5 linked regions of the Oryzias latipes genome follow. The protein of the gene in region 1 purifies or fractionates together with the protein of each later gene. This does not show direct contact. Links are inferred from orthologs where the notes say so. Each region holds a gene or a part of one and is shown in the gene's direction. Other genes may lie near its edges. The genes, in order: pink1, vim, hsp90ab1, cdc37 and sqstm1.

Region 1 (5,950 bases):
CATCATAAAAAATAATAAAAAATTAAAGAAGATCTCTGCCTCTGAAATATGTTTTAGGAAATACAGAAGACCCAGCATGGTTGGTGACTACCTGAACCTATAATAATTCATAACCAAAATTACTCACCATAAAACACATTTTAGACTGCTCCTTTAGGAAATATTTAAAGATGCCAGACATTTCTGACCTGTAAGTGTTATAAAAAATCAAATATCTGCTTCCAAAACCTTTGTTAGATAGGTTGCATAAATAATTAAACGTTAATGAGATTGCTTTATGTGATGAATATCTTTTTTTTTGGTCCAGGAAATTTCTTTCCGTCATCTATATTCTTAAACTGCTGAATCCCTTTTGGGGTTGCTGGAACGTTCCGACTCATGTTGAACAAAGGCGTGGTGCATCCTGGACCAGTCGCTAGTCAGCAAGGCTCAAGAACATTCTTTTTTCTCTGTAATCTTTGAGGGCAAGATTTTTTACCCATAATATACACTGAAAATGCACAGAGGCTTGTTTGGCCATGAGATACTGAAAAACAAAACCCAAGCATCAAAAAATCTCCTTAAAAGAAAAAAGGAAAAACAAACCAAAGCCAAATTGCAGAAGCATAATATCGATTAATAATTTAATTTAAATATATGAATGAATTAAGGAACAGTGATGTTAGTATTGTTCATATTTATAACAAGGATCATGGTCATAAATGTAAGAATTGATGTTATTGTAGGGATTTTGAATAAGCACAGACGTAACAATTTCATGGTGAAAATAACAATAGAAGGAGTAATAGGACTGATTTTGATTTTTAATAACCTATGTGTGCATTTCCATTAACACAAAAATTAATATGACCTTGATATGGTACCTGCAACTGTACCTGTAAAAGTTTTTTCACTCATAATTCAAAGTGACATGCAATTCTCAATAGGCAATTCAATTTTCCATTTGATCACACATTTTGCAATTGGCATTTCAATGCATTTTGTGATTTAGAATTCAAAATGAACAATAATTAAAATTAACTGTCACGGTTTTTTGATACTACAATTCAAATAAAATGCATTTTGCAACTTTTAATTAATTATGCTTTTTTATTATTTTATCATTATGAATTCTAAATCGCAAAATGCATTTTAAACTGGGACTAAACAGGGATATGGTCAATTCAGAATTGAATATTACTTTGAGTTATAGGTGAAACAAAACTTCCATATCTTAGAGACTTAGGGACATAGTCTGGAAACCCCCAGAGAAAACAAAGTTCTAACATTGAGGGAAAGAATAATTACAAATAAAAAAAATGTGTTAATCAAGCTAATGTTGTTAGCTGATTTAGATGTATTTATGCATTTGTCATCATATACTGTGTTAAAAATAACTTTTATTTCTGTCACATCATTCCTTTAACCTTCCAGTGCAAATTCTGACCAAAGCTCAGCAGGAACCTCCAAGTCCTACCCTGCGTCTATGGTCCTGCTTCAATAATACAGTTTTTATGTCACAAATAAACTACTTATCATTATAAAGACAAAAGAAGAAAATTAAAATTAATATCCAAAGAAAATAATTAACTTTCCTTAAAATGCACTGGTATTTTCCCCGCCCCTTTAAAATCATTCTGCCAATCCTGCCTGTTTCTCAGGATGGGTCAAGGGGATGAATATGATGCATTCAAAGTATATCCGTAACTAGAAAAAAAAAACAATGATGCTGGGATCCAAACAGCTCTAACTCAGTTTGTTACAACAATTACCGTTAATTAAAAATATAGACGATAATTTTAACTGCACAACACAAAATAAATGCGCTAAGGTGCTGAGGCCTGAAATATACAGTATTGTGGTTCCCACTCGTTGAAGGGGGCCATGAATGTATTTTATCTAAACCAATGACCATAGGTCCTTTGCGCATGCTCAGTAGCATTTGTTTTGTTTAACTTTGCTCCTCGCGGCAGCTGTTTGAGGCTGACCTGCATTCCCGGGGCTTTAAAACGTTTCTAAAAACCCTTCTGGGCTCACAATGTCTGTTAAACACGCTATTAGCCGAGGGCTGGAGTTGGGCCGGTCGATTTTTCAGCTGGGGGTCCTGAAAGCAGGTAGTCGGGTCGCAGCGAAGCTCCGAGCTGACCGAGTTCGTGCGGGCCCGGCCTTCCGGACCGCTCAGCCTCAGGCTTTCCTGCCTCTCCGATACCGGTATTACCGCACCTCACTGAGGGGTCTGGCAGCTCAGCTCCAGTGGGCTGGCTTCGTTAGGAGGTTTGCCGGAGGTTCACCGCGGAACAGAGCCGTCTTTCTGGCGTTTGGCCTCGGTGTGGGATTAATCGAGAAGCAGATTGAGGACGACAGGCTGAGTTTGGCAACGTGCAATGAGATAAAGGTATGAATTCCTGCTGTCATTTCAGTCTGAGCCTCAGTAGATCTGACATTTTATATTTGCGTTTTTTATAGCGACTGTTTTATGTTAAAACTTACTTAAAAAAATCATCGATTTTACTGTAATTTTATAGAAAAAACAAAATTTAGAACATAGCTGTGTAAATCTGTTGTTCAAATAAAATAAATTGACAAGTTTAATTCTTTCATTTATTGGGTCCAATGAGGTTAGTATTTATTATAGTAAAATATGTATTAATTAATCATTTTTTATCTATTTTAAAAGCGTTTCCAGTGGTCTTTTCATTAGGATTATTCCATTTAAAAAACGTTTGTTTTCTTGGACGTAGTGTCTGCAGTAGTTTATTAGAAATTCACCCCTGAGTTGTGGGCGGGACTGTTGCCACGGAGCAACCCCGCCCCCTTTCCTCTCCCAATTGCAGAGAGCTCTCTGTTTACATGCTCTCCCGCTAGCTTACAGCCCCCACACCCTCATCCCTAGCAGAAATGGTGAGCAATATTGGAGCTATCCAGAGGTAAACGAACACGGATCTTTGTCTGCAAGTTGTTGCTTTGGAATGGAGCAGAGCAGGCAGCTTGTGACCTGCCCAGCATGTTTTTTACATCACAAATACGATATTTTTTCAAACGGCATTGTTTCGTCTGCTCCTGATACATGTCAATGTGAAATGAACCGACAGTACAAGCTCATCCCTGGAAGTGACAAACTAAGTTATGCTGCAACTGACAACAACACAAACTTAAACTTTAGAATAGAATATAACTTTATCAATCACTTGTTACAACCTCTTTTGACAACGGCAAATAAATAACAAAAAAAAAATAAAACACTAGAAAAATGAATAACAATAACTATTGACCAGTGTCAGGTGTTAGAGTCTAATATCTGACAGGAGGAACGATCTGCAAAAGCTCTCATTCCTGTAGCTAAGTGTTCAAGTCTCTGACTGAAGGAGCTCCTCAGTGCACCGATTGCAGTAAATCCTGATGATGAAGAGGAATGTCCAGAATGGAGCTGGATCTTCACACTGTTCCTGTCAGTGCCATCATGAAATCTCTACAAGAGTCCTGCAATTTCTGAAGGACCTCAGTCTCCTTAGCCTCTCCTGCCCTCTGGTCGCTTCTCTAGCAGCATTTTGTTGTTGCCAAGCAACAACAACTGATTGTGTAAATCAGCGGTGTCAGAATCCAGGCCGTGAGGGTCCAACATGTTTTTCAAGCAACCTGCCATTGAAGCTCCTTATTGGCTAAACACACCTGATCCACAAGTCATCAGCAGCAGCAGCAGATAAGGCAGGATTTTTGGGAAACCAGCAGGAGGCCGGCCCTCGAGGCCTGGAGTCTGACACCCCACCCCCCCACCCCCCCCTCTGCTGTAAATGATGCACCTGCAGCCCGCTTGAGACCCAGAAGGGGTGGAAATTAGCCCAAAAAGGGGTGACATGCATGCCATCACACTGATTATGTGAAAAAATATCCATGTCCATCAAAAAGAGGTCAATAATATGAAAGTAACAAAACAAAAACAAGGAAGTTAGCCTGAAGGAAAGTAGAGTAAATGTAAACCCATTAGCAGTAGTTTTAGCAAAAATAACTGGTTTGATGCTATTAGGTTTGTATGAATTCATGAGACAATTTTAATCAATGATACCACGCTGGTAGTTTGTCAAGCTTCTTAAATCTCAGAGCATCGGCTTCTACAAGGCTGTTTTAGTGTTAAAAGTTAAGTGTATAATTGTAGATTTCAAAAGGACACTTCATTTACATACCAAAGTAAAGACTTTGAACTCTGCTTTAATGAAACCTGAATCTAATTTCTCCTGAACTGCAGGCGGTGTTCAGAAAGAAGAAGTTCCAGAGCCCGCTCAAGCCCTTGGCCTATGGATACAAACTGGAGGATTACATTGTAGGAAACCAGATTGGGAAAGGATCCAACGCAGCTGTGTATGAAGCTGCACCTCAGTTTTTCTGCTCCAAGAAAAGCGATGGTGAGCCCGCCGCGGTGCAGATACGAGACAGTGAGGGCGAGGAAGGAAATCGCGTCATGCCATCTCTGAGTTGCTGCTCTCTAAGGAACTTCCCGCTGGCAATCAAGATGCTGTGGAACTTTGGGGTGGGTCATGGCCAGCACCCATGTATGTGGGGAGGGGAAGAAAGGTCGCTTTCTGACCGGTGTTGTGATTCTATGTGTTTGCAGGCAGGGTCATCAAACGAGGCGATCTTTAGATCGATGTCCCATGAGCTGGTTCCCACAGACCCCCTCGCTCTGGCGCCAGCAAAACAGCAACTTACTTTAGACGGGTAAATATGTTAACGAAGTCAAAGGGCTGCAACGAATCATTACTGAACCTGATCACTAGCCACAGTTGGGTGTGTTTTATTCGGGAGGAGGATGATCGGTTAGCATGACACTTGAATAACACACTTGAGGTACCGTAACTCTTCCACCATTTACGTGACCAACTTGTATCAGCTGATTCTGACGTGGAGATAAGCGGCTTTTCTTAGCGGCTTTGCATAGATATGTAACGTATTATGAACGTAAAGGGTTGCATCACAGCAATTTAAAAAGATGACAAAATCCATCAGAGTGTATAGTGGCAGATATGAGGCCATACTGCCTTGTGGAGAACAAGGGATTTGAATATATACCGTAAAAGAACAAGCAAAATCCCATCGCAACACAAAAATCATTCTAGAATTTTAAGAGCATGTAGAAGAATTATCTAGTCCAGAGGTTCTCAAAGTGCGACCCGGGGGCCAATGGTGGCCCGCGGGAAGATTTTTTTGTGGCCCTCGATAAAAGAGAGCCAGAGTAGGTTCCTTTGAGGAAAAACGTGTTGGCGAGGAGAAAAGGCGCTTTCAAGCTAAGTGGACAAATGCTTACTTTGTCGTACCTCATGGGCTGGATAAAGTCATGTGCCTTATTTGCAAGCAAAAAAATCATCACTATGTCACAAATCATAAAAACTATGACAACCGGCAAGGAGTGCAACTATAATCTCCAACAACTACAACGAGGCTATGCTGTACAGCAGATGTTTACAAAAATGGCTACATCCAGTGAAGCTGTGACAGAAGCTAGCTACATTGTGGCTTTGGAAATTGGAAATTTGGTCCAGCAAAGCAAGCCCTTCATTGACTGGGAGTTTGTAAAAACAATGTATGCTGGAAGTAGCTGACATTGTATGTCCAGATCAAAAGAAAGTCTGTCAAATGAAACTATTAACAGACGAGTAGAAGATCTGGGCAGCAACCTCCGACCGCAACTGGGAAAACATCTGGAGGGCCTGGTTAATGGCATTTGGTCATTAAAGTTATTAAAAACAACTTTTTTTTTTTTCACCAAAATTGGCCCCCAGTGTAATGTCGAGTTCATAATTTGGCCCTCTGCTACAAAAACGTTGAGAACCCCTGATCTAATGGATTATCCATTGCTCTCACCATACATGGGTGGAGGCCTGGCGCTCACTTTACCACACCAGATTGGTAGACGAGAAGCCCAGTATTGCAGAAAGACCAGAGAGTTGCACCAGAACCAATGGTGGGGCCAATGGTT
Region 2 (6,093 bases), on another chromosome or scaffold:
GGTTTTGAGCGTTTCTGTATTTTCATGTTTCGAGTCTCTAGCCTGCCGCATGCAGTGGTTTCGGTTTGGTATCTTTAGTTTTGTTTATTAAAGCCCCCGTTCCCCTGCAACCTCCTGCCTCCTCTCCTCTCTGCGCCTGGGTACTTCCCTTCTCCCTCGTAACAGTTTGAGATGTCTAGGAGACCTCGATTAGAGGTATGTCAGTTATTTAAGAGGCATCTAATTCCCAGTGGGATAAAACAAAAGAATTTACAAAATAACTTGATCAAACACTTTTTCAATAGATCAAATAACAGCAAACATTCAGGGTTTTTTGTTTTTTTACAAGGCCATCTTCATCGTTTTTATGTCATAAACATAACATTTGCAGTGATTGCTATGGCTACAGGCTGCACGGGTTGGTGATTCAGCATCATGGGAGAAGAAACAAAGGATTCTTTTTCTGCAGTCGGCAGTTTTCAAGTGAAGACACCCAGAAACAAACTGTTTTGCTCTCAGTCGCACTTCACGCTGAGTCTGACTGATGTTGTCTTTTGCTTTTTAGATTCTTGTAACTCTTTGTTCTCAAACAGTTAAGCTTCATAAAAGCTCCACCAGATTACAACCAGAACGGAAAAATTAAAATAATTTTCAAAAATCCAGATTTAGCCAAAAATGAGATCCCTGCTCTCGCCTCACACTGAGTCACCAGCTGCAAACAACAAGTTACCGTCGGCTGTCTGCATACTGTCCTTGTAGTTGATAGATCAGCAATACACAATCCCCGCTCTGTGTGGGACAATCCTGGGGCCGCTGCGTCTGTCCACTCTGACAGAGCTGACTCATAATGGGCTCAGGAACAGGAATTTCCACGCTGCACGCCCCTCGCTCTCACTGAGAGCTTTCCTTTGGATTTCACCAGCTTGTTTAGAGCCAGACTCCAGTGTTTTCCCAGTCGGGTCGAGGGTCCTGCAGGGTCAAAGTGCTTTGGATCTGTTTAAATCAGCTAAGCTCTGGCTATCGAAGCCAGAAAAGGCTACAAGCTTTTCTCAAAATCAGCACAGTCCAGAATGTTTCGTCCCATTAGGAGCTAGGACATGATTCTCCAAAATGAATCCAAATCCTTTTGCTGCGTATTCTTGACAAAAGAAAAACTTGATTTAAGACTCAAAAAATCTCAAAAGTTCAATCTATGTTCGACTGACACTCGTTATTTTGGAAACAGAAATTTAGATTTATGTTCAAAGAATAAATGCTAGTTTGAGATTTGATGAGGATTTATTCAAATGGACTAACGTCTAAAATGAGTCATTTCCACTAATTACACTAGAGTTTTGTCACTGTAATAAAAAAGAAAAAGTACAATTAGGTTCATTAAAACTCAATAAATACAACAATTTGCTTAGAACTTTGTAAAAAAACCTTTTTATTGGGTTGTTTAACCTTCAGTTTGAAGTAATTCTGTTAACTTTTTGAGCTTATTTCTCCCTTTTTTAATGTGGAACTCCTTGTTTCTTTACGTTGATATTTTATGAAAAGATTTCTCATAAACTAAAATGACTTGCTGCATGAACAGATACATTTACTGCTTTCTAGTGATCTTTAGTGTTCTTTTCCAATTTTTAGGTTACTCATGTTTTCAGTGTATCCCTGAACACAACTCAGTAACACTGCAGCTTTCACACCATTACCTGCCTGTCAATAAATTAAAGTTTGATGATAAACCAACGCCCGAAGGTCCCAGCAACACCAAAGGAGGCTCGCTTTGGAGGTTTAAAGTGTCACTGACTCAGCTTTGCTGCATGTTTTCCTGCAGAATCTGTGCAATTCAGCAGCGAGAAAGCAGCAAATCTAGTGAGAAAAGAGAGCACAAGAGGAAGGAAAAAAAGGATTAGAGCATCATGACTAATTTTTGTCATGTTTGAAACTGGTTGAAGCGGCAGTCTGTCTGGAAAGCTGCATTTTCAAATCCTGGAGCAGTCGGTCTCCCAGTTTCTCTCCAGATCACTGACAGTGAAACACTGCAAACATGGAGTATTTATTGTCCTCGCATTGGAAAATATTTCCAAAACGTGTGACACATTTGCACAAGACCACCTCATGCACTGATCAACCCTTTTAGTATGGTTGGGGTGGGGTGGGAGGGGGGAGTCTCATGACACATTTGAAATGACCAAAGGCTCCAAGGAGGAAAAAAACAAATTAAAAAAAAGCAAATATTTAACTAAGTTAAAGCATGAAATGGATGAAGATCTGATTCCAAATAGTCACTTGGTTTGTGGATTATGCTTTTCTTCAGGAATCAAAGAAAATTGAGTGTGAAAGAATCTGATGATCACAAATTCTTCTCTTCCTTGGATAACGAGCTCCATTCAGAGTTTATAAATGGAGCCCGAAGAGGAGGAGATCCTTTACTGGACCCACCACGCGTCACTCAAAACCCACCGCCGCATTTGCATAAGGAGGAGACTATAAGCGGGTGAAGATGCAGGAACCGCCCATCCAGGCGCAGTCCGCGGACGCAGCTCAGGACGCACCAAACGCGCGCAGCATCACCCCCGGAGCTGAAGATGTCCTACAGATCTGCCCCCCATTCTTCCTACAAGAAGATGTTTGGGGGTGAACAAGCTTCGGCCAGAAGCAGCTACTCCAGCCGCCAGTTCTCCAGCCCGGTTCGGTCCAGCCGGGTCTCCTTTGGTCTCTCCTCTGCCCCAGTTTACGCAGTGAAGACGCAGAGGCTCCGGAGCAGCGCCGCCATGCCCCGGCTGGCCTCCGAGAGCCTGGACTTCTCCCTGCACGACGCCGTCAACAGCGAGTTCCTCACGAACCGGACCAACGAGAAGGCCCAGATGCAGTCCCTCAACGACCGCTTCGCCAGCTACATCGAGAAGGTGCGCTTCTTGGAGCAGCAGAACAAGATCCTGCTGGCGGAGCTGGAGCAGCTGCGGGGCAAAGGCACCTCCCGCATCGGAGATCTCTACGAGGACGAGATGCGGGAGCTGCGGCGCCAGGTGGACCAGCTCACCAACGAGAAGGCGCGCGTGGAGGTGCACCGGGACAACCTGGCGGACGACATCGAGAGGCTGAGAGAGAAGTAGGGGAGGGGGCGTGGCCCTCGTGGTTCCGCTTTTCTGTAGGCCTGTGTGGCTGGTCGTGTAAAATATCCCCACATCACTGATATTATAGAAATAAAGTTTGCAGAAATAGAAACGGAAACACATGAAAAAAGTTTAAGAGAAAGTTCCCAATTCCAATAAGTCTTGAAAAAGTGTCTTTTCTCTGACTTTTGCAGGCTGCGTGATGAAATTTCCCAGAGGGAGGAGGCTGAGGCAACCATGCAAAGCTTTAGACAGGTACTGCTGGATCCAACTCAATCCTTTCCACCCCAACAAAACACAAATGTCTTATTTTCAAAGGTTTTTGCTGCAGAACTCTTAGTGAGAACCGGGATGCTGATCTTAATTTCTCCAGTTCTGCAGTGTTCTTCCACTTCCAAACCTTTTAAAACGTTAAATCTGTTACCTTAATTTCCATCTATTTAACAGCAGGTTTTTATATGCCGTGGGACGGATGTGCTCCCCAGCAGATTACTGCTGAGCCAGTGGAACGGTAGAGTACAGGCTGACCTGGCCCTGGCTGCAGAGGCCAAGTTTTGGCGTGTTGTGCTCAGTCAGGCCTGCAGTGAAAGCAGATTGTTTGAGTCTGACTAGTCACAGAGAAAGGGCAGGACTACAGTGTGGATCTCAGAGGGATCAGACATGTGACCAGAGCTGTCCCGTTCCCGGATCATCAGACTCTCACTTGTTTTGGTGTGGCAGTGGGACTGTCCCGCCGTCACAGGGTGTCATGGTGAATCATGTAAATGCAAAAAAAAAAGGCCTCATGTTTCAAGATAAGTGAACATTTTCTGACGACTGTTTAAGAAAATAAATGGCTTGATGTGGAATTTGTGTGAGCGACAGGATGGATGGCACTGAGACAACAATGCGGCGGCCGCAGCTCCTGCTCAGTCAGGCAGACAGTCACTCTCCCAGCCTGGGGCTTGCTGGGAAAACCCTGCTGAATAGCCCACTTTGTTTGTGGCATTAGTGTGGGAGGGGGGTGCTGCTGCTTCATTTGCTGATACGTCAATTACAAGCCTGCCAGCGCCCCGACAAAGCTGCAAAGCTGCACGGTGCCACTGCAAGTGCATGTGAGTTAAGAGAAAAAGAAACTGATTAAAAGAAAAAAAAAGGGAAACTTTTAATAATGGAATTAATTTTCTAGTCTAATGAACCGTGGAGAGTTTTAGTTTGAGAGTGGAGTCAGCTAATAATAAAAAAAAGAGATTAGGAAGCTCTACAGGAATGCTTGGTGGTTTGGGATGCTCTGAACAAAAGGTATTTTAGAAAAGTCCCAGTGAATTGCTCCCTTGTCCCTCCTAAAATAAAGCTATGCAGGCACACAAAGGCCACCTCAGGTTCCTTTCTATTCATTCACACAAATCTGCTGGTTTCCTGTCATAAATTAGGTGCACATCTGGTCAGAATGTGGACAAATAATGAGACACCTATTTTCAGCCGTAGTAACCCTGGAGAACCCAAGGAGTCAAATTTGGCCACTGTTTTTTTTTAGGCTGCCATCTGGACTCTTCCATTAAAAGATCTTTAATAAAGTGCTAATAGTGGTTTTAGTCTATCACCTCAAAGCTCTTCGAACAACACTGGCAACCTACTTGGGAAAAAAATGTCGGTTGTAAGTTTCAGATTTTGAACGGCTGATTATGTTGAACAAAATATTAGCAGTTTTAGCTTAATTAGTGTCTTTGTACAAAGGTAATTTTGGTTGCGAGGAAGCAGGCCGTGTCACACAGCCACTACCTACATATCGCACATTTTCCCTCGTATGACATGTCTGTCTGTTTTGATCCATGCGTGATTTACGTCATTCATTAGTGTTTCTTGCGTTCGTCATTCGTGGATGTGCGCAGATGTCCGTCGAGGGTTTCAGCCAACGGGCCTTTACATGATTTTAGGTTTTGAGCTGCTCAAAATTTTTGGTCGGTATAAAATTACGCAGTTTACGCATATTTAAAGTACAGTATACGCGTAAGACTCACGCAATTGTGTGTGATTTCTGCAAGATGCATTTGCAAATTTGTGACCTTCTACAACCGTTCCACGTTTGTCTGACAGACTTTTCACGCACAATCTCCAGATGCATAATATTTTTATTGTGCACACGGCGCAACTATCACGTATGACCACGTATAGTGGCTGTGTGACACGGCCTTCAGCCCGCGAGGGCAGTTAGAAAGGGGGCCACTAGGGCGGTCGCTGGGGGCCATCCAACACCCAACATCGTGCAAGACTTTAATATCATTTTGTTACCTGTGTCAAACTACCTGAAAAAGCCCAGAAAACAATTTTTCTCGCATTTTCCAGGGTAAAGCAGTTGAGAAGGAATAAATAATTTGTATTTTTGTGTCATATCTTAAAAACAACCAACAGAAGGTGTCAATAAATACATGATGTTAGCAGCACCTGCAAGGACATGTGTGGCCTGCCCACGGCTGCTTTTTCTGTTTTTGGATTCATGTTATGACCTTGGGTGACAACACAACCCACACACACACACTGTTTATAGGTGCTGTGAGTCCTCTTCACAGCATGTGCATCAGAATATGTCAGCAGAATGCATAATTCATGTCACCTTCACAAGTCACCTTATTAAGAGTGAGTGTCATGGCGCAGGACGTGGACAGTGCTGCCCTGGCTCGACTGGACCTGGAGCGGAAGATTGAGTCGCTTCAGGAGGAAATCAACTTCCTGAAGAAGCTGCATGATGAGGTAAGCTTCGGTGTGAGGCCAGGCGGCGTCGGGTTGCTGCAGAAACACTGCGCTTGCACTTGAAAATCTCATAGGGATGCACAAAAAGAAGCCGCATAGATGTTGTTGGTGTTATCAAATTTCCAGGTGGTCTGAAGATGCCTGGAAAAGTGCAGGAATAGGAGTTTGATTAGTGTTTTTTGGAGACTGACGTGAACATGTCTGCTGCAGGAAATGCTGGAGTTTCAGAGTCAGGTGCAGCAGCAGCAACAGCACGTCCAGGTTGACATGGACGTGGCAAAGCCCG
Region 3 (6,191 bases), on another chromosome or scaffold:
CACTAAACAGAGTCAGTTAGGCTAACGTTTGCAATAGCTGACGTGACCTAACAAACAAAGCTAACTTTGTTTTTTGAAATAATTAGTATAGACTAAATTTAATACATTACAATGTTCTTACCCTTAATTAGGTCGTGTGAAAATTAGTAAAAACCAACAGTAAAATTGGTAATATCTTTGAAGGGAAAAATCGTTTACGTCTCTAATGGCACTAAACTAGCCCACGAGCTAGCTGAGAGCGTTATCAACACTCACGCATGCGCACTATTTACCAAAGGACAACCGCACTTCTTTTGTGCGTCGGGACATTGCCCGTGGACGGGGCTAAAGTTCTGCTCAGTACACCAGTGTTTATGTTGTGAAAAATGTGTCTTTTACTACAAAGGCTCTCTGAATCTGATTTATTTGCATGGTAAATGATCATGTAGTTAATATTTTAAATTAGCTTTTTTTATAGGAAAATGATACTAATCATTCCAAAATTTCTATTTTTCTACATTTTATAATTTTACTACATGCTAATGAAATTTCAATTTGTTCTGCATAAATGTTTGTGTTATTTAACGTAAGCCTATTAACAATGACAAAATTAGATATTTGACATAGTTTTATTTACATTTTGTTTAACCACGTTCAATTGGAAGTGCCGTCATTTTGATTTCAATGTTAAAATATGTAAAATAAATCAATAACTAAAAAAAGTTTTTATTAAAAAAATATTTGGCATATTTATTTTTCATAAATGTAAAAAAACAAGCCTTTTAAAAAGTTTTGACCAGTCATATTGATTTATTTACAGTAAAAAAAGAAATAAAGGTGTCATTGATCAAAATGAGGTACAGAGCGGCAGTTGTAATTTCTGTGGCAACCAATAGAATGCGAAGTCAGCATGTGACAACTCGGTGACGTCATGTTTAGGCGGGTTTTTCATGGAAAGTGCTAGAAGAAACGAAGCACTCCCCTTCGGTATTCTTCCATGTGATTACAAAGACCTAGAGTGTTCGTTGATTCCGTAAAAAATACAGCGTGCTTTTAATTTTTGACATCCAGATATAGAGATTCTATACAAATACTTTTTTTTTTCAACAAAATTTTGACACATTTTTAGAATTTAGACAATTACTAAACGGAAGCTCGTAGATGTAGTTTTTGCTGTATCTTAAATAACCGCTAGATGGCAGCAAAAATCAAATACGATTGATTTTATTCTTAGTTTTGTTTTTAATATAATAAATTTATAACGTTTAGATTTTACCTCCTTGGCCAATCAAAATATTGTGCATGCTATTCCACTATAACTTTTTATCTGTTGATATAAATAATTACATATTTTTCTGGAGGAGCACAGTTAGTTCGAGAAGGAGCGCCGCGGAGGGATCTTGTCCTGCACTGAAACTCATGAGCATATAGATTCGGCGTGCAGCTCCAGAATCCTCCTTTCTTTTTCCTGCGTCAGTGAGCGGCAGGGATAGCACTTTTGTTGCATTTTATTCAAGAAAAGCCAACATAAGAAACAAGGTATGTCTTGGTAATTCACTTCATATTGAGGGAAACCAAACTTTAAATGGTTTATTATTATTCTACACCGAATGTTGAGTCATTTAACGGGTTTTTTTGTTATTTGATTTCGATTCACGTGGTTTGTTTAACCTTGATTCATCGATTAAAAGCATTTCTGACATAGCGGGTTTACTATTCTTAATTAGTAATGGGCTTTAGGTTAAATCTTGTACTAGTGACCGAAAATAAGTGGTGGGCTTTTGCCGCATCTTGTAGGCAGACAGAAGGTATGGAGATTTATTATTGTGAAGGTTGGTTGTACCTGACTGTTTAAAGAATAACATTACCATAGTTTAACGAGCGATTGACGTGTCTTTGTGTATATTTTGCCAACGAAGGATTCTAGATGGACTACTAGTTTAGAATCTTACACCCAGAGTGTGTACATCATGTACATCTTGCATAACCGACACAGGAGTGCTCGTGGTTTTTCGGGGTGATGGTAGTTTTGGGGGCTATTTTTTTGCAGTAAAGCTCCTGAGCGATAATCCAAAATCGTTCGATCTTGATATTCACGGAAGCTTCGGGTTTTTTCGGTTTTAGTCGGCACGTGCTTGCAGCGTCCATTGTCCATGCCTCGCCGCCATGTTTCGCTGCACTTCCGCCCGTATGTTGTAATCTGATGGCAGGGATCCGACTCTGAACCGGTTTCTGAATTGTGGTAGTTTATGGTTTAAAATTATTCATTAAAAAAAATTAAACTAAAAACTACAATCTTAGTAAAATAATTGGCAGTTTATTACCGTATTTTGCGTATTTGTAAGATGTTGTGCTTTTATTTTGGCGTTTCCTGTTGGTTCATCCCATTATTAGTCTGACGCTGTTTGTTGCAAACCTGTTATTTCTTATGCAGATGCCTGAAGAAATGCACCAAGAGGAGGAGGCTGAGACCTTTGCCTTCCAGGCAGAGATTGCTCAGCTGATGTCCCTGATCATCAACACCTTTTATTCCAACAAAGAGATCTTCCTCAGGGAGCTGATCTCCAATGCCTCTGATGTAAGTCTGCAGCAGTTTACGTAACATCGTATCACCTCTGTGTCAATACAGTGAAATATCTTGACGCTGAATTATTTTTAGGCTCTGGACAAAATCCGCTATGAAAGCTTAACTGATCCCTCCAAGCTGGACAGCGGCAAGGATCTGAAAATCGACATCATCCCCAACAAGGCTGACCGCACCTTGACCATTGTTGACACTGGAATTGGCATGACCAAGGCTGACCTTATCAACAACCTGGGTACCATTGCAAAGTCTGGGACAAAGGCTTTCATGGAAGCCCTTCAGGTATTAATATAAACAGGCATAAAGGGGAAAAATACATATACACATTTATATATTTTTTTAGCAGAAGTGAATACAAATTGTGGAACTTTGCCGTTTTCTTCAGGCTGGAGCCGACATCTCCATGATTGGTCAGTTCGGTGTGGGATTTTACTCTGCCTACCTCGTCGCTGAGAGGGTGGTGGTTATCACCAAGCACAACGACGATGAACAGTACGCCTGGGAGTCCTCTGCTGGGGGATCCTTTACCGTCAAGGTCGACAGTGGTATGGATCTTCAAATATTATAATTATGGTGCAACAAACTAAAATCTGACTGTGAAACATTTGTTAACCTCTACAACACTGTTCTCAGGCGAGCCCATTGGCCGTGGAACAAAGATCATCCTGCACCTTAAAGAAGACCAAACGGAGTACATTGAGGAGAAGAGGGTCAAAGAGATCGTGAAGAAGCATTCTCAGTTCATCGGCTACCCCATCACCCTCTTTGTAAGTGATTTGTTTGTTTTTTTACAAACATATTTCTCACTAATAGAAGCTTATGTGGAGTTGTACGTGGTTTATCTATAGGTGGAGAAAGAACGTGACAAGGAGATCAGTGATGATGAGGCAGAGGAGGAAAAAGAAGAGAAGGAGACCAAGGAGGAAGGTGAGGACAAGCCAAAGATTGAGGATGTGGGCTCAGATGATGAAGAAGACGCTAAAGACAAGGGCAAGAAGAAGAAGAAGATCAAGGAGAAGTACATTGACCAGGAAGAGCTGAATAAGACCAAGCCCATCTGGACCAGAAACCCTGATGACATCACGAGTGAGGAGTACGGCGAGTTCTACAAGAGCCTCACAAACGACTGGGAGGATCACCTCGCTGTGAAGGTAAAATAGAGGTTTGGGTGTCTTCTGATCGGCTGATGGAACCTCGTGCTGACGTGTGTTTCTCTTTTAGCACTTTTCAGTGGAAGGTCAGCTGGAATTCAGGGCTCTGCTCTTTGTTCCTCGTCGTGCACCTTTTGACCTCTTTGAGAACAAGAAGAAGAAGAACAACATCAAGCTGTACGTCAGGAGAGTCTTCATCATGGACAACTGTGAAGAGCTCATCCCAGAGTACCTGAGTAAGTTTTAAATCTCTGTTCCACCGGATCTGAAAGGAAATGCACAGCAGCTTTAAAACGTTTTTGTTTGTTTACAACAGACTTCATCCGTGGAGTGGTGGACTCTGAAGACCTGCCCCTCAACATTTCAAGAGAAATGCTGCAGCAGAGCAAGATCTTGAAAGTAATCCGCAAAAACATTGTCAAGAAGTGCCTGGAGCTGTTCGGAGAGCTGGCAGAAGACAAAGAAAACTACAAGAAATTCTATGAAGGTTTCTCAAAGAACATCAAGGTATCTCAAACATATCTGAAGCTTTTCTAAATGATGCCTATAAACTGATGGATTTTTTTTTTCCTGTAAACTTTTAAGGTGTGAAAATAAATCGACACATATTTAGCGTGAAGCCTTGGAATTGGGCAACGCTTGCTGCATTACCCAGAATTTAGTTGAGTAAATCGATCACAACTTTTATGTTCACAGCTCGGCATCCATGAGGATTCTCAGAACCGTAAGAAGCTGTCTGAGCTGCTGCGCTACCACAGCTCCCAGTCTGGAGATGAAATGACTTCCCTCACAGAGTACCTTTCTCGCATGAAGGAGAACCAGAAATCCATTTACTACATCACTGGTAGGTTTGGCTTCCAGTCCATATGTTCTTTTGTTGATTCTTTTGGCACGACTTAAGTTTTTGTTTTTTGCCTCTGAAGGTGAAAGCAAGGACCAGGTTGCCAACTCTGCTTTCGTGGAGCGCGTCCGCAAGCGTGGCTTCGAGGTCCTGTACATGACCGAGCCCATCGACGAGTACTGTGTTCAGCAGCTGAAGGAGTTTGATGGCAAGAACCTGGTTTCTGTCACCAAAGAGGGCTTGGAGCTGCCAGAGGATGAGGAGGAAAAGAAGAAGATGGAGGATGACAAGGCCAAGTTTGAGAACCTCTGCAAGCTCATGAAAGAGATTCTGGACAAGAAAGTAGAGAAGGTTGGTCTCAAATAAGAAACTGTGCTTTTGCTCCTCATTTCTTCACCATCATTTCCTTAACTTCAGTGGTGTTTTGTTTGGAAACAGGTTTCCTAGTGGTAACTACTTATATTGGTGAGTTCATACAGAGTAGAAGTGGCCTGTAGAGTTTCTAGCGTTGCCTGATATTTGAGTTGAAAGGGTTTGGTTTTGCAAGAGCCTGATAAGTCTGACAGCGACGTGAGTTCTAACAATGTTTGTCTTTTGAGGCTGTGTCTAACACTCGATGAAATCAGCATCACACAAACGGCCTGAACCGCATGCGTGTATTGCATTCCAGTGGTCGGTTTTCTCAAACCGATGCTTACCTTCATGCCTTCTACAGGTGACTGTCTCCAACAGACTGGTATCGTCCCCCTGCTGCATTGTGACGAGCACTTACGGCTGGACGGCAAACATGGAGAGGATCATGAAGGCCCAGGCTCTCAGGGATAACTCCACCATGGGTTACATGATGGCCAAGAAGCATTTAGAGATCAACCCCGACCATCCCATCATGGAGACCCTCCGGCAGAAGGCTGAGACCGACAAAAACGACAAAGCTGTGAAGGACCTCGTCATCCTGCTGTTCGAAACTGCTCTGCTGTCCTCTGGCTTCTCCCTGGACGACCCTCAGACCCACTCCAACCGCATCTACAGAATGATCAAACTTGGTTTGGGTACGAAAACACTCCAGACTATAAATATCTTTGTTTTAAAAGGTTCATGTCAATAATTGGAGGTCTTGTCTCCAGGTATCGACGATGACGACATCCCCACAGAGGAGCCCGCCTCCACATCTGCCCCAGAAGAGATGCCACCCCTGGAAGGAGATGCTGACGACGATTCGTCACGCATGGAAGAGGTCGACTAAACTTCCCCAAACTTCACACTTTTAAGCCTCACTTTCCCAGAAATCCATCTATTATAAATTCTGTAACTAAAAAATCAAGTAGGCATTCCTGTTGTGACGCTCTCGGTAAGAGATCCTCACACTGAAAAACCTTGTTTGAAAGTAGGTTTGTTTCTGCTTGCAATGTTCATGGTGACGACTCATTTTAAACTCCCCTGTTGCACTGTGGTTTACTTGTTCGGTTGATGTGCAAGTTGGGGAATGATGCATTCCATTCCAAATGTTTGGGGGGGGTTCTCTTCATGTGCAGCGCTGCATGGAGAGAGGACTGTAAGATTCCTTTGCCTGAGGTCAGGTTTGTCTGTGTTCAGTTTTGTTTTTGCAAAAATAAAGAATATTGTCCCTAATGTCTGT
Region 4 (6,087 bases), on another chromosome or scaffold:
ACACATTTTCACACAAAGTTCTGATGTCCACTTTTTTTTTTGTTTTTTTTTTTTGCTCAGGTATCTAAGACAAGCTACCTTGCTTCAGGGTCAGAAGACTACATCCGGCATGCAGAGAGCATTGCTCTTAGCAGATTTTACTGTTGTTTTCAACACGGAAATGATGCAACATTTATGATTCGGTGGATATTTATGTAAAGTTAGATTTCACAGACAAGACCACATTAAAAAAAGGTCTTTGGAAATTTCATTTTTTAATGTGTTAGATACATTTTTTAGAATTGTAATTATCTTTTGTTTGTTTGTGTCCAACTGTATGTGATTTTCTTGATCTGGTTTATGTCTTGACTATATGTTTTCTTGACTAACAAAATATAATCATTGCAAATAAAAAAAGACTCAATGACAATATTTCAGTGGTTGCCATTGTACATATGAACTGTTTGTTAATTTTCTTATCTTTATCAATAAAAGCAAAACATCAAAAAAGTATGGACATTTTATTTGCACTTCTGCGTTTTTTTCAAAATAAAGTATAAAGTTCAAATATCTGGTATGACCAGATTGATTTTTAAAAATTGTTAAAATACCAACAAAAGCCTAAATGCATGTATTTCATTGCCCACACGATGTCGCTGTTGAGCAGATGTCTAAATGTAATTGGCTAACAGCATGACACGTGATCAAAACAATCCCTTGAAAACGGAAGTGGTTGGGTTCCCAGCAGTAGTAGGTCGATCTGCGTATCAAATATTACTGGTATGTCTAACTTTAAAACCATGCCCCCAATCTTTATCCAATAAGTAAAGTTTAAGATTCTGCCCATGTTTTATTCATATCATTGTTTTCATTCTCACATGTTTTCCTTTAGATATGCCACAGAAAGATCCGTGTCAAAAGCAAGCATGTGCCATTCAAACGTGTTTACAAGGTACACATTGACGTTGTTGTTGTGCTCTTCTAATGCAAATCTCAAACAAATTTGTGAACTTTTTGTTCTCATCTCACAGCTAACAAGTATGTGGAAAGTAAATGCGAGGATGTGATCCGAGAGATGCAGCGGTGCTGTGCAGCGCAAACTGGAAACTCCGTCTGCTGCTCAGGTTTCAAAGACTCCAAACTGACAAACTTCAAACCGAGCAAAAATAGCTGACACCACCTGCTGATGACTTGCATTCAATGGAAATAAAAAGTATATAAAATTGTCTAGTTCATCTTCTTTTCTCTGTTAGATTGAACATTTTCTAGCTATTTTATTCAAACGTGTTGTCACAGGTTATGATCGCAACACCGGCGATGAAGAAAAAAGGAAAACATTCACAAACTGATCTTGTTTTCCTTTCTTAGAACTTGAACTTTTCCTTCTTGGGAACGGACAAACTAAATTATCATCTATCAGTCTGGAGCACACATCTATATCTGAAACATAACTATATAAAAATCATATCTGGCCATTTATATCAAGAACGAAAAATAGCAGTAAGCAAATGAATATCATACTCTTAGTTTACCATATTACGTAGGTACATTTTCTAAATCTTATATGTAAAAATAATAATCTTCTAATATGTGTTCAGATCAGCATTCTAATTTATTCTTAATTCGCCTTGAAAAATGTAATCATTCGGGTCATGGTGCTTTTCTTTCTTTTTTATATTTAAATATAATTTCCCTTTTCTTTAATTTTTATTGAACAATTGCAACATACAGAACAAAGAAATGCAACAATTATGCACAGATAATGTACATTACAATTCTGAATACAGAATAAACGTGTTACATGCTTAAGAAGATTCTAATTATTTCTAACAATCACAAAAGGGAATAAAAAATTAAAATAAATAAAGAAAATAGAACTAAACATAGAAAAAAAATGATAAAATAAAAAGAGAAAATGCGAGAGTAAACTTGTGTTATTATTCCAAAAGATTTACAAATGTTAATTGTTTTTTGAGCTTTTGTGTTTTTTGAAGCTGAAATTAAGTTTAAATATTGCTGCAGTTCCAGTTTTAACACAAATAAATCAGTTTTTTATAGGAGAATTTGCTTTTATGAATATCAAATTTAGCCATAAATAACAACATGTTTATACAAAAGAAAGCATCACAGTCTTTCAGATTAAAACTATGAAAACCAAATATTTTCCGTTTTTGGTCATTGTTTCCGGTGTCTAAATTACGACGTACAATGTACGCGCCTTACGTATGACGTAAACGGAAGCTTTGGGGAGAATTTCTTCTAGAACTCTGTAGCAGCTTCCCGTTAGCTCTTGCTTGGGAGTAACAAATCAATTCGCACGACCAAATTTGGAGTACAGAAACACAGAGCACCAACACACATTTCTGAAGGGTTCGAGTGTGAATATTTCTTAGGTCGGTATTTTAGCGAGCGTGATTTAGACGCCAACTTAACCGAGTTCTAGTCGAAGCTAGCGCTGCTTCTTCTTGCTGCAGGATGTCCAGGATAGATTACAGCGTGTGGGATCACATTGAGGTATCGGATGATGAAGATGATACCCACCCAAATATTGACACTCCCAGTCTCTTCAGATGGAGACACCAGGTAAATATAAAAGCTTTTCGGAAAAGTGCTTAGCGTGATCGTTAGCTTTCACTTTCTGCTTGTAATTCTTCAGCCATGCTAATTTTCCTACTTACTTCGGATTCCTGAATTTGAACTCAAACTGGACAAGAGCTGATGAGTATTTGAAATTGTTTACACATGATGTTCACGCGTGTGATCTGTTCCTTAGGCGCGCGTGGAGCGAATGGAAGAATTCCAGAAGAAAGGCGAAGACCTAAAAAAAGGACTCGCCGAATGTCGGCGTAAACTCACGGAGTTACAGACAAAGATCCAGGACCTGAACCTTTCCGATGGTGTCAAAACAGAGCTCACCAAATACCAAGCCGATGAGAAGAAGCTGAAAAAAGAGGAGCGGGACTGGGAGAAAAAGCTGGATGAGTACTACAGGGAGGAGAAGAAGATGCCGTGGAACGTGGACACACTCAGCAAGGAAGGGTTCAGCAAGGTGACTTCTATATGCAGATAGAAACCTGTGGTTTTCTAGCAAGAGGTTGGAAAATCCAATGAAGCTCACATTAGTCCGTTGACATTTTATAAACAAAGTAGTTATTTCAAATCAATGCTAGATGGTGTCAAATCTTGATCTTTGTTCTCGCTTATAGAGCATAGTGAACATAAAACCTGAAACTTCGGAAGATACGGAAGAAGAAAAGGAGAAAAAACACAAAACATTTGTTGAAAAACACGAGAAGCAGATTAAACATTTCGGTAAGCCTGAGTAACTTCCATAAGGTCATTCTGTTGTCTTTTCCCTTCTTTAAAAACAATTTAAGTCTATTTTTATTAACTTACAGGGATGTTGCGACGATGGGACGACAGCCAAAAGTATCTCTCTGACAATCCTCATCTTGTATGTGAAGAAACCGCTAACTATCTCGTCATCATGTGCATTGATCTGGAAGTTGAGGAGGTAAACACATATACTTATATTTTTATTTTATATTCTTGTATCTTTGTTTTTTAGCATATCTTCTCCTCAAAGTGTGTGCTCCTGTTTGCAGCTGTTTAGGTTTTTCATTTCTTAGTAAAGCTTTGCTTTCCTATTTGCAGAAACACGCACTGATGGAGCAGGTGGCCCATCAGACCATTGTCATGCAGTTCATTCTTGAGTTGGCAAAAAGCCTCAAAGTGGATCCCCGCGGTTGCTTCCGTCAGTTTTTTGCAAAGATTAAAGTAAGCAAGTTTATTTAATTTTATTGTGTTTAATTGCTCTGAACTTATTCATTTTAAAGAAGATGTTTGGGCAGGAAAAGAAAGGGTGCTTTCATAAACAAGCAGTACAAAAATCAAAGGCAGTCTGTCTGTTATTCCTGGACTAAAACAGATTATTTTAAAAGTCCTTTTTTTTTTACCAGAAGTTTCTGTAAAATTTTATACTTCTGGTTTGGAATGTTCACATTTGTTCATTTGTTTTCTTACAGACCGCAGATCAGCAATACCAAGATGCTTTTAACGACGAGCTTGAGGCGTTTAAAGAACGGGTGAGAGGAAGAGCAAAGATTCGCATAGAAAAGGCCCTGAAAGAATACGAGGAAGAGGAGCGGCAGAAGCGGTTGGGGCCTGGAGGCCTGGATCCAGTTGAAGTGTATGAGTCGCTGCCTGCTGTAAGTGCATTCTAACAAGCAGGGTTTCATTTTTTGTCTCTATTGAGTTTGAAATGCTCACATAGTTTGCCTTCAACCACAGGAAATGCAGAAATGCTTTGATGAGAAGGACATCCAAATGTTACAAGAAGTCATCAGTAAAATGGATCCAACTGTAAGCTATACAGTTTTGTCTGGTTGAATCTTTTTGGATTTAGGTGCTTTTTTTTTTTTTAAGAAATCCCTGTTAACATGTGACTGTCGTGTCTTTTAGGAGGCAAAACATCATATGAAGCGTTGCATTGACTCAGGTCTGTGGGTCCCCAACTCTGGGGAAGGAAAGGAGGAAGAAGGGACCTATGAAGAGGTGAAACGGGAGCCGGAAGAAACAAAGGAGTGATCACAATGGATTTGTTGTTTGCAATTGTATTCACTTACTGTACCCCAGTCTCATTTAATGTAAAACAGCTTGCCAATAAACACCATCATTTCTTTAAACTTTTTGAGTACAAATTTGAATTATAAATGTGTAATAAGTCACATATTTGAAACAACAAAAACAAACTGTGTTTCTGCATCGCCTGAGCTGAATGTTTTTCCTTCATTTGTTATGCTTTGTTGGTATTGGTGCATAGTTGCAAGCTTAAGTCTAACATTGTCACATTTTTTTGCAACAGATATTTTATGTGACATTTGTACAACATTCACCGTTAAGTTCCAATGTTTTGATTTTTTTTTTTTCTTTCCTCCGGGTCTTTTACATTATTCAGGACAACAAAAACATTGACTTGTGCTCAAATAATCATTCAAACTGCTTGATTGATGAGCTTTATAGAACAGCTGGTAAATGAGGTTTCTAAGAAAAATAGTAAGGGTTACTGCTGTCAACTCCAGGCCAACGACAGTTGATCATGTTCGGTTCTGTTTATCCTAAATGAACCCAAAGATTTAGCTTTGGCTTCTTACTCAGTGGTAATCTAAAGATGGAAAAGACCAACTAGTCGCCTTTGTGAGATGATGTAAACTTACTGTGCTTATTCTTCCAAGGCAGGAGTACTTTGACATTTGCATGTCATGGCTTACATTTTTAAGTGAAGAACTGAGGGAAAACTGCTTTCAATACTGCAATTTTTCTCATAGAAAAATAAAAAAAAAAACTTGAAAACTGAACCATTGTAGTTTTTTAATGTAAGGATAGAACTATGAATATTTGAAAATGTGTGCCTGAAAGAATGAATAATCTAAATATGTTAAAAATGAATGATGACTGTTTTTTCTGGTCCCATGCTGCAAGAATATAGCTTCTGTCCCAGGAGCCTTTCACTTTATAACAATGCATAGTTATGGTATTAGATTATAAATAGACAACCAAAAGAACATATTTTTTCCTTTGTAGGTGTCTTTAGCTTCTTTTTATTATTTTCTGGTATCACATGAGATGTTGAAAATCGAATTATCTGTACTAGAGCCAGTGGAAAAGGGGAATTGTGTGTTTTTTCAAAAAGAAAAACCATATCTTCCTCAAAAATGCAGTTCAATCATGATTATTGTCAAGAAGAATATTCTTTTTCATATTTGACATTAAATATTGACAGACATTGCTCACATTTTAAAAGTAACGCTACAAAATAAAAGCACTTTCTTATTTGACAGGATGATGATGCAAAAATGAGTCATTTTAGAAACCACATTCATACTAAACATTGAGTCAGATTTGATCCAAACATGGTGCCAGGGTTAAACCACATTTACCATTTACATGCATATTAGGTAATCTAGATTAAATGGATTGATATAAACGAGCACATTAAATTTCCATTTAGGCAATACTGGATGTTTTTGTTCTGTTTACACTTTTTTTAATGCTGTATTTTGTTTCACATTTAGTAATCATCCAATTACATCAGTAACTAGTTTTTTT
Region 5 (6,175 bases), on another chromosome or scaffold:
TCAAGGTGAGCCAAGCTGTGCTCCCGCGTTGATTGGATTTGGTGACCCCCCCCCCCCCATGTATTTATTTATCTTTATCAGCACAGTTTGATTTAATCAGAATCAGATCAGAATCGTTTATTGTCATTGTACATGGGGATACAATGAAATTGCAGCAGCCTTGGAGTGAAGGAGTTGCATAAAATAAAAATAAAAAATAGAATGGAAATAGAAATACTGTATTTACAACTCTTAACAAAAAATGAACAATATGTACAGAAACTGTTAAATATTAAATATTTGTGGATAAAATAGACCTTTGTGGATAAAATAAATTTCAATCGATTCAAATAGATTGTCTGTTGTTGGTATAAGCCTGATTTCATCAGAACTAAGAAAGAAGGTTGTTGTTCCGGCTCATCAAGAGCAAGAAATCACAATCCCAGCTCCAAAATGTCACTGCCAATAATAAACCATACAGGAGCAGATAGAGAAAAACTCTGCTCAGGTCTGGTGGGGATTTTCTATCCAGAGTTAAAGAATATATTAGAACTGTATCCCAGCCGGAGACAGTAACACGGACTTTCAGTTCACACAAAGGTGAGAGGATTTCATTATTTGCACAGATTCACAGCTCGCTGAACAGACTTTTTCACAGAAGTTCAACAATCAAGCAGAAATGAGGATTTGCAGCAACAGATAAGAGTGAATTGAAAGAGCAGAGACAGGGGAAGCTGGGGGCAGATGTAAAAGAGGAGCAGAGAGGAGGTGCAGAGATGGAGACCAAAAAGAGGAGCTCAGAAAAGACGGTTAATGTCTTCCTGCTGTCTATTGTCAACAAATGCTGCGATTGGTGCTTTTGTATCTGCGTGTTCCTCTGATTGGATGGTGGGTCTTCCTGTGTGATTAGCTGTGGAAATCTCCTTTATTGAGATGAAATGTCACAATATATCTTAGTTAATCACAACAGACCGTTCTGTCTGGTGTAGCTGCAGCACTGTCAGTGTTACCTCCTTGTGTGTCATCATCAACAACAGGCATCAGACTGAGGATGAGAACTGATACAAGCAGAGATTTGGTGGACTGGTTACAGCTTTGGAGAAAAGCTCTGAAGTGTCTGCATTGAATGTCAACAGTGATCTAGACAGAACAAAGACGAGATCACACCCACCCTAACAAAGAAACAGGAAGTCAGACTCTTCTTAAGATAAGAAACAGGTGAAAGTCAGACTCTTTGATCGTCACACTCTTCATCTGTGAAACTGTGGGAGCTTCAGATAAACGGAAGGTTTTGGGTTCCAGGTCACTAAGGTTCCAGGCTGCAGTCCTGCAGAGGTGAGCCTCTCTCAGGTCTTCAGGGTTGATGTGGTTTCTCAGGGAACCACCTTCCATGACTTCACGGTTTTTTCCTCAGTGGTCATTGAACTGGTTTTACTGACTTCATGTGACTGTGAGTCATTGTCAGCTGATTGGCTCAGGACGGTGGGTGACATCACCACAAAGGCGTGCATGAAGGCAGAGTACACAAACACACAACAGTACACACAACTGAACAAAGCATGCAAATTCCCCATGTTGGTGAATTAATCATTAAGATTTGAAGAGAAGACCTAAAGGTGGACAGAATATCAGGAGATTTCCTCATAAACATTGACTATGAATTTATCATTACTGGTAGTTTACAGATGTAATCCATTTACTACACTTCTGAAAATTGTTTTTCTTTTTTTCCCTCTGAATAGGAAAAATAACTGAAGAATTTTAGACATCAACTCCCTCTCAGTGATCCAGGACAAATAATGGTAGACATGAAAAATGCTTACAGTTAACTAATCATGAGTATTTACTAGAATACAATATATTAGTCTTCATGCAGCTATTTTAACCTTCCATTAGGTCTCTTTGGCTTTAAACAAAAAACCCTGATGATTTCAATAAACAATGGCGTTGTAGTTTTGGTTTATTTATTTAAGTAAAGTTGTATCTTAGGTTTAGATTGTTCACTTGTCTTCGATGTTATAAGGCCTGATTATTTATTATTATTTTCTTGTGACAAACTTTTTTCCTTTTGACTTGGAAGTAATCTCTAAAACAATAATAATTTTAAAGAATAAATATTACATTATAACATTAACAAGAATAACATAAAAATGTAGGCTCCTCCTTGAACAGCTGAGAAAAAATGAATTACAAATTTCAAAAACATATAACGTTTTTTTTCTCCAAAAGAAAAAATCTAATGAAGTTTAACTGTTTTAAGGAAAAAAATTCCAATGTTAAATGAATTATTTATTTAAAATAACTGACATTTTATGGTTAGTTACTAATTTCTCTTTAATGAACTTCCATAGTTTTAAATTGAAAAGATTAAATTTTTTCCCTTGTTTAGTCTGAAACACTAAAAGTACTGAAGCAGTCTAGAACTTTCCTACTAATTCTAGAAGGATCCATTCCGATGGGCCACAGGTTTGATAAACACAGGAGGACGTCTCTAGGCGATTCATCGTTTCCGTGTTTTCATGGCCGCAGTCTGCCTTCTCACGGTGACTCCGCGATGTGTGTGAACTGTCTGCTGGGATCCTGATCACGTGACACACAAGACGGCCTCTGATTGGACCTCTGGAACCGGCGTTCCTTTTACACGGACCAATCCGCGGCTGCGCAACTGTTAACAGAATCACGTCACCTGCGGAAGTAAACATAAAAGAGGCTGAAATTTATCGCTGCGTCACAAACTGGGATTTTTCTTGGACTGTTCAAGTGACGGTTTTGCGTCTGTGTCTCGGTCCTGCTCCCGGTGTCAGAACTTTGTGGTTCGGAGTCCACAGCAGCAGCAGCATGTCTGTGACGGTGAAGGCTTACCTTCTGGGGAAGGACGAGCATGTGAAGGAGATCCGCCGCTTCGCGGTGGACCAGGACGTGTCCTGCAACTTCGAATATCTCAGCAAGAAAACCGCGGCGGTCTTCTCCAACCTGATGAACTCCTCCTTCAACCTCTTCTACAAAGGTGAGCCGCATGGGCCGGGTCAGACAGAGCCGGGATCCGCTGGGTCTGATCGGAACCGTCATACTCACTAACCTGGAACCGAACTTTTTGTCAATACTTTATTAAACAGCCGCAGTAACGCGGAAGACCAACTTAGAGAAACATTCGAGTATATAGAAGGACTGTAGACATTTGAATCTGTACAAACATAATCCGCCCACTGACTTATTTAAGAAACAGCTAATTTAAAGGGATTGCTGTCACGTGACGCATGTAGCCACGCCCACAAATTTCTGTCCTTTGATTTGTGCGCAATTGAAAATATTCAGTTGATCAGGAGGCCCGAAGTTTAGACCCCCCCCCCCCCCCCACACCCACACACAAACACAGGCGGAGTAGGTGGGACCTTATGACGTAGAGGGGAGGAGCTTCAGGTGTGATTCCGGTTTATATTTCAGATGAGGATGGAGATTTGGTGGCCTTTTCTTCTGATGATGAGCTGATGATGGGCCTGGGCTGCGTGAAGGACTCCACCTTCCGCCTCTACATCAAAGGTAAATGCACGGCCTCCTGTGTGAGATCAGAGTGACCTCCCAGCAGTCCTCCCTCACGGTTTTTTTTTTTTTTTTCTTCCTGAACTCTGACAGAGAAGAAGGAGCACCGCCGTGATTTCCCACTGCATGCCCTACCCCCTTTCATGTTTGGACACCCACCACCCCATGGCCCCCCTCATGCTCCACATCACGGCCCTCCCCCCGCCCTGCACCCTAACGTCACCTGTGACGGCTGTGAAGGGCCGGTTGTGGGAATGCGGTTCAAGTGCTCCGTTTGTCCCGACTACGACCTTTGCTCCACCTGCCAGGCTCAAGGGAAGCACACTGAGCACGCTTTGCTGCCCATCTGGCACCCCCTGCAGGTGAGTTACTCCATCTAACCATCTAATCGTCTTTCCACTTCTGTCTGGACATCGTGCTGATTTAAAAGAAAGGACTTTTTGGTCAAAGCCAAAATGCACTGACTGAACCAGAAACTGTGTCTGCAGTGGTTTCCCCGTGGAAAGTGGATGAAGAGAATGAGACACTGCATGTGGAACCAGAACCAGAATCAAAACCAAAACCCAGAGCAGCAGGAACAGCAGGACCAGCCAAGGCCATCAGCATCTTCGGGTGACGGTGGAGAACCATCAGGTGAGAGAAACTCAAAAAACGTTTGAGCCTAGGGCATTAACATGCTCCCACCTTAACCTCTGACCTCTGCAGCTTCCCAGGCTAGTGTGGACTTCCTGAAGAACATTGGGGAGGGGGTTGCCGCCATGTTGAGCCCCCTGGGTGAGTGTACATAGTGGAGTTGCTGTTTTTGGGGGACAGGCAGGAAGTGATGTCATGATTTCCATGCAGGAATCGACGTGGACATTGATGTTGAGCATGACGGGCAGAGGTCGAAGGTGAATCCACCCACTCAGGCTGGAGGGGGGGATGACAATGTGGCAATGGATGTAAACGAAGGGGAGTCTGCAACTGCTGAGAGGTCAAAGGTCAGTCTGTGTTCACTGATCAATGACTGAAATGAACGTGTCAACAACTGACCCTCGTCCCCACGTACACGCAGGCAAGCCGGGACTCTGACGAGGAGTGGACTCACCTGAGCTCCAAAGAGGTGGACCCGTCCACGGGGGAGCTGCAATCCTTAGACCCCAAGAACCACGAGTGCGAGCTGCCGTCGGGAGGGCAGCAGGGGCCCCCGTCGGGAGGGCAGCAGCCGTCGGTAGGGCAGCAGGGGCCCCCGTCGGGAGGGAAGCAGGGGCCCCCGTCGGGAGGGCAGCAGGGGCCAACAGGTCTGCGGGAGGCTGCGCTGTACCCCCACCTGCCTCAAGGTGAGTCTAGTTCTCACAAGTATCATTTGCTATGACTGTTGCCCTCTTGTAAGCTCCTCCCTCTGCCCCCCACAGAGGCGGACCCCCACTTGGTGGAGTCTCTGGCTCAGATGCTGTCGATGGGCTTCACTGATGAGGGGGGCTGGCTCACCAGACTCCTCCAGGCCAAAAACTTTGACATTGGAGCGGCTCTGGACGCCATCCAGTACGCCAAGCAGCCCCGCCCACCACAGTGACCGCACCAGCTGCTTTATTTAACCTGAGTTTCTATCTGTTCAACTGTTAATCAACTCCTTAACCTGTTTCTGTCTTTTATTAATCTGTTTCTGAACAATAAAAACATGAAGGAATCCGAGTGGGTGGAGTCTTGATACACACCTGTACTGCCAAGTGCACAGCAGGCTGCTTTTGAGAACCAAAACAGTCCAAATGAAACACTAAATGTAATTTTATATCACCTGTTTCCACGGCAACACCTCCACCAGCAGCACACTTGAACCAGACTACACATAGGAGCTGCTAGAAGTCAATACTGAAGTCTTCCTCAGTTTCGAACAGGGAGGAAACACTGAGTCCTGGGTGGGGCATGTTGGGGGCTTGACTCCGCCCACAAGCTGGAGGCTCCTCCTCTTGGATTTCGGAATCAGATTTGAGAGAGCAGGCTGAGCTAAAGGCGCGGGGATGGAAGTGAGCTTCATCAGCAGAACGTCTCATTGCTGGACCAATCAGCTGCAGATAAAGAACACAGTAGTGAAAGTTGGATGACAGAAACACCAGAACCTGAAGAGAGAACTGTTTCACTCAAAGTGACCACGTGCTAAACAGCAGCCTGATCTCTCATATTGAAAGAAAAATTCTCATTCAACAACAATCCATGAACTTTCCTTGAACTAAAAAAGGTATTTGACACAAACCCCAATATTTTCCTTGAACTCAAATATAGCATTGGAGGGAAAGCTCTTCAACGGCCAACAACTCATGTAAACGACAGTATCTACAAATAAGATCAAATCACAATTTTGGAATAGAACTTGTGGAGTAGCTCAATGGTCTGTTCTAGGACCAGTTCTTCAGTCTGTATATACATAACATTGCTAACACATCCAAAAGGTTCAAACGTATCTTCTTCTTGATACTTGGCAACAGAGACACAAACCCAAATATAATTTATTTGAATGGATGGAATTAAAACTGACCGAGTGAAGAATGTGAAATTTCTGGGAGTCATCATTGAGGGCATTACTTGGCGTTTCATAAAGTTAAGTCAGCTCTTGATAACAAAGCACCGTTTTTACGGTTTAACTCAGTTTCTTCCATTTCTAAACTACTGCATTGAA

The links.
Region 2: the proteins of pink1 (region 1) and vim purify together in Homo sapiens (affinity purification with mass spectrometry; 3 studies listed by BioGRID and IntAct, with this or other methods). This does not show direct contact. The link is inferred for Oryzias latipes from reciprocal best matches to the Homo sapiens genes PINK1 and VIM.
Region 3: the proteins of pink1 (region 1) and hsp90ab1 purify together in Homo sapiens (affinity purification with mass spectrometry; 4 studies listed by BioGRID and IntAct, with this or other methods). This does not show direct contact. The link is inferred for Oryzias latipes from reciprocal best matches to the Homo sapiens genes PINK1 and HSP90AB1.
Region 4: the proteins of pink1 (region 1) and cdc37 purify together in Homo sapiens (affinity purification with mass spectrometry; 6 studies listed by BioGRID and IntAct, with this or other methods). This does not show direct contact. The link is inferred for Oryzias latipes from reciprocal best matches to the Homo sapiens genes PINK1 and CDC37.
Region 5: the proteins of pink1 (region 1) and sqstm1 purify together in Homo sapiens (affinity purification with mass spectrometry; 3 studies listed by BioGRID and IntAct, with this or other methods). This does not show direct contact. The link is inferred for Oryzias latipes from reciprocal best matches to the Homo sapiens genes PINK1 and SQSTM1.

The regions. Positions count from the first base shown.
Region 1 is NC_019865.2:23,688,558-23,694,507, forward strand, and holds the start of pink1 (serine/threonine-protein kinase PINK1, mitochondrial), read left to right. Parts: upstream 1-1,905; 5' UTR 1,906-2,017; coding exon 2,018-2,374; intron 2,375-4,222; coding exon 4,223-4,504; intron 4,505-4,588; coding exon 4,589-4,692; intron 4,693-5,950. UniProt on the Homo sapiens protein: Serine/threonine-protein kinase which acts as a sensor of mitochondrial damage and protects against mitochondrial dysfunction during cellular stress.
Region 2 is NC_019875.2:29,288,913-29,295,005, reverse strand, and holds the start of vim (vimentin), read left to right. Parts: upstream 1-2,463; 5' UTR 2,464-2,549; coding exon 2,550-3,073; intron 3,074-3,271; coding exon 3,272-3,332; intron 3,333-5,711; coding exon 5,712-5,807; intron 5,808-6,017; coding exon 6,018-6,093. UniProt on the Homo sapiens protein: Vimentins are class-III intermediate filaments found in various non-epithelial cells, especially mesenchymal cells. Vimentin is attached to the nucleus, endoplasmic reticulum, and mitochondria, either laterally or terminally.
Region 3 is NC_019882.2:5,880,938-5,887,128, forward strand, and holds hsp90ab1 (heat shock protein HSP 90-beta), read left to right. Parts: upstream 1-2,407; coding exon 2,408-2,557; intron 2,558-2,638; coding exon 2,639-2,845; intron 2,846-2,948; coding exon 2,949-3,108; intron 3,109-3,196; coding exon 3,197-3,330; intron 3,331-3,411; coding exon 3,412-3,714; intron 3,715-3,784; coding exon 3,785-3,950; intron 3,951-4,030; coding exon 4,031-4,221; intron 4,222-4,410; coding exon 4,411-4,558; intron 4,559-4,637; coding exon 4,638-4,906; intron 4,907-4,993; exon of another isoform or gene 4,994-5,020; intron 5,021-5,270; coding exon 5,271-5,604; intron 5,605-5,679; coding exon 5,680-5,798; 3' UTR 5,799-6,184; downstream 6,185-6,191. UniProt on the Homo sapiens protein: Molecular chaperone that promotes the maturation, structural maintenance and proper regulation of specific target proteins involved for instance in cell cycle control and signal transduction. Undergoes a functional cycle linked to its ATPase activity.
Region 4 is NC_019866.2:8,381,992-8,388,078, reverse strand, and holds cdc37 (hsp90 co-chaperone Cdc37), read left to right. Parts: upstream 1-2,213; 5' UTR 2,214-2,372; intron 2,373-2,453; 5' UTR 2,454-2,454; coding exon 2,455-2,562; intron 2,563-2,752; coding exon 2,753-3,028; intron 3,029-3,185; coding exon 3,186-3,291; intron 3,292-3,377; coding exon 3,378-3,493; intron 3,494-3,633; coding exon 3,634-3,756; intron 3,757-4,004; coding exon 4,005-4,187; intron 4,188-4,269; coding exon 4,270-4,341; intron 4,342-4,440; coding exon 4,441-4,566; 3' UTR 4,567-5,333; downstream 5,334-6,087. Other genes in the region: hemicentin-1, read left to right, coding at 61-68; cmc4 (cx9C motif-containing protein 4), read left to right, coding at 874-931, 1,011-1,153. UniProt on the Homo sapiens protein: Co-chaperone that binds to numerous kinases and promotes their interaction with the Hsp90 complex, resulting in stabilization and promotion of their activity. Inhibits HSP90AA1 ATPase activity.
Region 5 is NC_019868.2:3,816,304-3,822,478, reverse strand, and holds sqstm1 (sequestosome-1), read left to right. Parts: upstream 1-2,817; coding exon 2,818-2,986; intron 2,987-3,423; coding exon 3,424-3,519; intron 3,520-3,612; coding exon 3,613-3,881; intron 3,882-4,007; coding exon 4,008-4,152; intron 4,153-4,224; coding exon 4,225-4,293; intron 4,294-4,362; coding exon 4,363-4,499; intron 4,500-4,573; coding exon 4,574-4,838; intron 4,839-4,913; coding exon 4,914-5,074; 3' UTR 5,075-5,188; downstream 5,189-6,175. Other genes in the region: mrnip (MRN complex-interacting protein), read right to left, coding at 5,358-5,567. UniProt on the Homo sapiens protein: Molecular adapter required for selective macroautophagy (aggrephagy) by acting as a bridge between polyubiquitinated proteins and autophagosomes.